2 linked regions of the Coturnix japonica genome follow. Each later gene encodes a partner of the first gene's protein in a complex. Links are inferred from orthologs where the notes say so. Each region holds a gene or a part of one and is shown on either strand. Other genes may lie near its edges.

The links.
Region 2: NUP93 (region 1) and CETN3 share a complex: the UniProt entries of both Homo sapiens proteins name them as parts of the nuclear pore complex. The link is inferred for Coturnix japonica from reciprocal best matches to the Homo sapiens genes NUP93 and CETN3.

Annotation. Positions count from the first base shown.
Region 1 is NC_029526.1:563,169-566,821, reverse strand, and holds part of NUP93 (nuclear pore complex protein Nup93), read right to left. Parts: intron 2,725-3,653; 5' UTR 2,690-2,724; coding exon 2,511-2,689; intron 1,973-2,510; coding exon 1,855-1,972; intron 1-1,854. UniProt on the Homo sapiens protein: Plays a role in the nuclear pore complex (NPC) assembly and/or maintenance. May anchor nucleoporins, but not NUP153 and TPR, to the NPC. During renal development, regulates podocyte migration and proliferation through SMAD4 signaling.
Region 2 is NC_029547.1:53,322,368-53,326,020, reverse strand, and holds part of CETN3 (centrin-3), read right to left. Parts: intron 2,982-3,653; coding exon 2,867-2,981; intron 1-2,866. UniProt on the Homo sapiens protein: Plays a fundamental role in microtubule-organizing center structure and function. As a component of the TREX-2 complex, involved in the export of mRNAs to the cytoplasm through the nuclear pores.

The DNA of each region.
Region 1 (3,653 bases):
GCTCCTCTCTGACTTTCATGCTGTATCTTACTCTCTCAAGAAGCAGCAAGGTATTTCCTGGAATTCTCCTTCTGCAGTGCTGATATTCCAGCAAATCTCTCAATGCTGCCCACATACGGGCTGCTAGAATAGACGGCAATATGAGAAGGAACAGAGTCAGTAAGTAAATACTTTCAGCAAGAACGATGGAGAAGCTCAAGCAGACTGTCAGGGAAATCAGCAAGTTCTTCTTTCTCTGCTATTACCATGGATGCAATTACCATGACGTGGGAGAGCGTGGCAGGAAGTCCAAAGAGCATTTTCATGCTCCAGGAGCTTTGATAGAATTTCAGTCAGTAGCAACGTAAAATTCATACAATACATATTTAATACTTGTAACCGTTGCTCAAGTGCAGTTACCAGCAAAGCCTACACACAAATACCAGCACAGTCACACTGTAGCTTTACAGGAAGGAAGAGTGCATTTGCAGCTTCAGGTTTTACCTGAAAAAAGAAGTTTCAGCCTCAGAACGAAATGATGCTGTGAAGTACCTATGAAGGGATAACAATAATTGCACAAATTTGAGCTTGAGGGACATACACATCCACCAGCAGCTTAAGCACTGATGGGTCTAGAGGTGATATAAGCAAGCTTCTGACAGGATTTAAAGCTGAAGAGACTTGCTGCAAACCATACCAGCCTGCAAGTATAAACGTTGAGCATCGAGAAAACATAAAATACAACAAAGATAAAGCAGTTCAATCTATGATATAAACTGTGAGCGAAGCTTATTTTTGTTGATTAAAAAACTAGAAGTGGTAGAGTTAGTGCCAGCTGCAGACACTAACCTCTCAACCCCCAGAACTAAAACCTGACAGTATGTCTGTGTAAATACTGAGTAACAGCAGAGGAACAGTCAAACCCTGGAGCAGACCCCCTCCTTGTATCACCCTGCACACTGCTCTCCATTGGAAGAAACTACAGAAAAAGTGTTCCACGCAGCACAGAGACAGTTGTATCTGACCCCAAATAAACACAGTGAATCCAAAGGAGCCTGAGGAAAGCAATTAGTTAAGGAGAATGAAAACTTATCCCAGAATAACCACAAGAAAAAGTGACATAGGAAGCTTTTGTACTATCAAAAGCATCAAATAACTTTAAGACCTACCTGGCTGACAGAACTAAACGAAGGGTAACGTACAGCACAAAGGCCCTTGTACGTCACTGACAGGAAGTTACCAAAAACCACTCAGGAAGGACAAATCCTGCTGTCGACAACCGTGTATCAGAACTTATAGACAAGTACAGAGACTTGTCCAAATTCTAAGCAAGTATTTCCAGACAACAAACCATTGTCAACATCAGCCAGACAGCTCGAGATGTGACTGCAAACATCCCCAGGCAAAGGAAAGGATGATGGAAAGCAGCAGAAAGGAAATCTCACAGCTGTTAGCTGCCAAAATAAGCAGGGACAAAACGTTTCACACTCATGTGTGTTACGTGAGCCCATACAATCACCTGAAGCAGAGAACCTCACCATGCTCTCCTCAGCAAATCACTTGTAGCTTACTTAAGCCTCTGCAAAGGCTGTAAGTGCCTTGTTTCTACTGACTTCAATGAAAGTCTGGAATTCAAAATGGTTCTGCAGAGTTGCTGCTCAGTGGTGCTTCTAACAGCTAACTTTTTTCTTCACTGAAAGAAGCGTTCCTCCTCTGTACTACCTGTATCCAGTGGACTGAACTCAAGGCAAGACTATTTCCACAGTACCCTCAGAGCAAAACTAATTCCACAGGAGCCTCAGAAGTGCTTTGAATCACAGCAAAGGAATAGCAGTTACAAGGGGAGTCTGATTTCCTCATCAGAATTGCACCTACCTGGATGTCAGTGTCCTTCACAGGTTCAAGAGGCTCAAATGTAGTGGCTGCACTTAGACTCTCTAACCGCTGAGAGGTATGAGATATATCAAGCCCTCTGGACCCAAGAAGAACAGACCTGTAAGGAAGAAATTGTACGTATATGAGATCAGCACAGAACAGAAAGGGCTACTAGTAAGAACTGTAACCCCAGCGTGCTGCTGATATTTAGATCAGCAGCTAGTCACGTACAAAATTTCCAGTTACTATGAAAGATGTGCAAAACCAAACCCTGAACTATATGTGTGTATCTAACAACCTCAGCCTCATCAAACACTTCCTGCTGTTCCACTGCAGTACTGCACATCTGCCAAATCCTGCCTGATAGAAAAATTCTATAGCATGTTGCTAATTGTCTTCAGCAGCAGCCAGAACAAAGTACTGCACTTTTTGGCTTTGGTAGCCGGGAATGGTAGCTTCTCAGTTAAAACCTTCTGTTACTATTCTTTTTTTTTCCTTTTGTAAGCAAGAAGGAGTGGGCAAGAAAACAGCTTTGCAGAAATTCTGTTTCTCCTGGGTACATTCTCCTGGCAAGGCTCCCCACACATTAGAAACCAAACCTACAGACAGCCTGTACCCTCTGCATTCCATCTCCAGCGCCGGTGCTCAGTACTTACGCCTTAACATCTGCAGTCTCCTGGGACGTGCGGGTCAGGGTGCAGGAACGCAGGCGCTCCCCAACCTGCTGGATCTCCGGCAGGCTGCGTTCCACATGAGGGAGCTCAGAGATGCCCTCAGTCTCAGCTGCAAGCTGTTCTGCCTGCTGGAGAAGCTCTTCAAAGCCTTCAGTGTCCATTTCTGCTGCAGTCTTTATCCACGATGCTCAGAAGCCTTCAGAGAAAAATAAAAAAAATTGAGAAAATTCTTCAGCTATAAACAGCTTCTACACCTACAAGCACTCAGAGAGACCAGCAAGAGCTGCTCCTCTAGAATAGAACACTGTTCCATCAGTCCTCCCCAGGCAGCATCAACTATAACAAAGCATTTAAACAGTATAGTTTTGTATTCCTGATATTCCACCATTCCTAAGTCCCCTTGGGGAGGATGGGTAGAAACACCTAAACATCAAGGAGATACTTTCAGGTGCTCTCAGAGCACTTTGCCTAGCAGGATGACATTCTGAATGCAGATCTATGGTCTGTCAAAAAAGCAATGCAGGTACCATGTGACTATGTGACAGTTCAAAAGGGGAAGAACAGGAAGTGAAGAAATCCATGTGAAAGTTTTTGTGTTAATTCAGCTATAAAGCATTTGCATATACATCTATTTTTATATATACGTACATATAAGGAGCTAGGAGATATGGTTTAGTGGTGTTATGTAGATATGCTAAAGGGAGGACGGTTGGACTAGATGATCTTATATGTCCTTTCCAATTTTGTGATTCTATAATTCTATGATATACTTTTATATAAAATAAAAGAAGATTTGTGGTACATATACACATATGGGGATACACATGCCCCAACTAGGTCCCAAGCACCAACTCTGGCTCTTTAACTTAAAAATAAAATCAAGAGGAACCGGTTCAAGTGAGCCCTTGAATCTAAAAGAAAACGGTGCATGTTTACAAACCAGAACTCACCTGTAAATTCAAAAGTATCTCTTGGTTTCCCCTTTGAACTACACTAAAGCAATTTTAACAGTACTATTTCATATTCCTGGTATTCCACCGTCCCTAAGTACAACTTCAAGAGGCAAGAGCACTGTTCTGTGCCTGGACAAGAAGTGACTTCTAAGCACTACGTGGTGATTCACTC
Region 2 (3,653 bases), on another chromosome or scaffold:
AAAATGCATTTCAGAAAAAAAATAAAATAAAAAAAACCATCAGCTCTCACAGAACCAGGCACTTGAATTTGTTGATTTTAAATATTATGATCTGGATAGAATTTTGACTTTCTGAGAACACTGAAACAGCACGAAGTAATTAAAAACATTCTCATGTAATTTCTCTTTTAGATACAAAATCACACTAACAAAAAACCAACAAAATCAAAGCTTGAGGTTTATGAAAATAATGCAACTATACACAGTGAAATGTTAATTCTGAAGGGATTTGTTACTGTTGGTTATTCCTTTTATTGCATCCATTTGCTAGTTGCTGTGACAGAAAAGACAGCCAAACTACAAAAATGTTTTTTCGGTGATTAATTCAGACACTTCCGGAATCAGATGCAAATATCTTCATATTTATGTACCTGCTAGTTTCATGTTACAGGACATGGTATTTATGACTTTTATCAAACCATTAAAAACACATCATCCTTGTTTGTGCAAAGACAAACTTACATCTGCTACTGTTTGCAGATGGAATGCCTCCTCCAGCTTAGCAAACTTGAAAGCAAAATATCAGATCCAATCTCATGTAAGCTCATAAAGCAATAAGGATTTTGTTTTCACTTTCATATTTATATGTATTTATGTATTTTATATATAATGTAGATTGAAATATATACAAAAATCACTCATATTTATATTTAAATATTTTCATTGAAAACAACTATGACGTGTGACAGTAGTAAATTTAAGAAACTCTACATTTATGGCAGTAAGGCATAAAAGGGAATAAAGGCAACATCAGCTAACAAAAAACCACTGCCTCTAAGTGCCATAGATAAAATGATTGTACAAAACAAGAGGAGATGCAACTATGCACATTTTAGATGGTCAGCTCTGATATTTAAACCACAGATAATCATGCAAAACTGACAACTAAACAATTGTTAAACTACATTCAGCCAGCTCATCATAACTGTTTTTATAACCTATTTTCTCTAATCTTTCTGCTACAAGCTATATACAGTTTAATTCTGTGTCAAGGGCATACTTGTCATAGCCATGCTCAGACCTCAGATTCAAAGTTTTTTGATTGATTAAAACTGCCAACCAACTATTTGCTGTTCTTTCTACATGAATCTTCCTAGCTTCTCACAGCACTTATTGTCTATATTGATAAATAGGACAATAAAAAGCTGACTCAGGACACAACATCAGGAGGGTGAAACCTTGGGCCATTTTAGGAATTATTGGATGAATTCCCCAGGAAACGTCCTAAGGGACATCAGAATGGAGAAGAGATGGAAGATCTTCAAGGACAGCTTTCTGAGAGAACATGGGGCCTCCGTCCCGCAGCATAAGAAACCAAGTAGGGGAGGCAGGAAATCAATATGGCTGACCAAGTACCTGCTGGTCAAACTCAGGCAGTGAAGTAGGGATGGATGGCCTGGGAAGAATGAAGGAATGCAGTTCAGACATGGGGAAATAAGATCAGGAAAGCCAAAGCACAGATGGAACTGAACTTGGAAAGGGATGTGAAAAATAACAAAAAAAGAATCTTTAGGTACATTGGTCAGAAGAGAGTGGCCAAAAAGGGCATACTCCCTCTGACAAATGAAAAGGTAGAACTGGCTTCAGCAGACATGGAGAAGGCTGAAGTACTCAGTGAATTTTTTTGCCTCAATTTTCACTGGCAGTCAGGCTTCCCACACCTCTCATGTTCCTGAATCTGTAGGCCGGAGTCAGAGGAACAAAATTTGCTCCCACTGGAAGAGCTGAGCAAATCTAAGATCACCTTGTAAGGCTGACTGAGTGCCTGTCTATGGGGCAGAGCATGTATCACAGAATCACCTGGGTTGAAAGGGACCTCAAGGATCATGAAGCTCCAACCCTCCTGCCTGGCAGGGCCACTAAACTTCCACGTTTACTAGATCAGGTTGCCCAGGGCCCCATCCAACCTGGTCTTGAACATCTCCAGAGATGGGGCACCCACAACCTCCTCAGGCACCCTGTTCCAGGACCTCACCACTCTCCTAGTAAAGAACTTCCAAACTAAATCTTCCCTCTTTCAAATTAAAACCATTTCCCCTTGTCCTGCTATCATCGTCCCTTTCAAAGAGTTTACTCCCGCTCCTGATTACAGATACCCTTCAGGTACTGAAAGGCTGCAATGAGGCCACCCCACAGCCTTCTTTTCTCCAGGCTGAACAAACCCAACTCCCTCAGCCTGTCTTCGCAGGGGAGGTGCTCCAGCCCCCTGATCACCTTCGTGGCCCTCCTCTGGACCCTTTCCAACAGCTCTCTCTGTCTTTTTTGTACTAAGGGCTCCATACCTCATGTAGAAGGTCTGTGAGACACAAAACCTTTAGATGAAAGAAACTGTTAATGAAATTCACTGTTTTAACCAGCAGCTGAAAATCCTTGATGTACAATATTTAACATCTGCTTCAGTTTCTCTCATCTTTGTTAGATTACAGAAAAATCTGTATTCAGTTTACAGTTTGTCAGTTTATATACTCCTTCCTATGAAATTCAGTGCCAACTACTCTTTCCAAAGCAGAAGGGAGAATACTAAAAAAGACAAAGAAATATAAACACAAGAATATCTATATTTCAAATCAGTGCTTATTCCTTTGCATAAATTTTTTTCCTTTTATATTGCTGTAATCCTTTATCTCCACGTATATACAAAGAATTATTTTCCTCCACTATGCAAGTTTATACAGAAAAATATAACATTATATCTCCCATCTCTCTTTCTTAATAGCACTAGCTAACTACAAAAACACACAAAGTACTCCTGGTCAAACTGCAGTCACTATTGTAAGCTAAGTTTCTCTGAAGGTAGATTTCTAAAGTTATAAAATCAAATACATACCAACTTCATTAAAGTCTTCAAATGTGATCTTGCCTGTTGCTTCTCGATCGTAATCTTTAAGTATTTTCAGTACATCAGCTTTTTTCACATCAAAACCCAAGGCTCTCATTGCCACCTTTTGGAATACAAAGAAAGTGCAATCAGATATTAATATTAAAATAGAGCTTTATGAGAGATTTGTTCTTACTTTTAATAAGAACATCACTGCATAGGACAGAGTGTGCACATCAGTGGGACTGCAACAACAATAAATAAAAATTAAAATACCAAAAATGCTTTGTATAAAAAAAAACAAACATGAAATCACCCAAAACAGGCACTGCTAAGTAGAACATCATATTACAGTGTAAAAAGAGCCTTCAGTTTTCCAATACTTTAAAAAGTGCATCATATGCTTTTTAGGAGTAGATTTTTTTTCTAACTTTCAAAAGCATTCTGAGTACTGTCCCCTTTTCAAAGATCAAATTGAAAATCCTTCTTTAAATTACTCACAGTAAACACTGGACAAGTCATCTTTCCAGGGACTTAATTTATCACTTTCCCACTTGAAACTATATAACTACATAAATCATTTTTCCCTTAGATTAGGAATTGATACTTAGTTTCCACATTTCAATGGAGATGGCAGCTTCTCAGCACATGCTACTTCGAATGCACTGAAATACAGGAGCTTATTTTAAACTACAAATAGAAAGCCCCAATATCTCTATTCAACATAGCCATTTCATATCTACCCTACAGGCTGATGTTGCAGGAGGAGGTATTTCTTTATACATTTCAGTTCTTC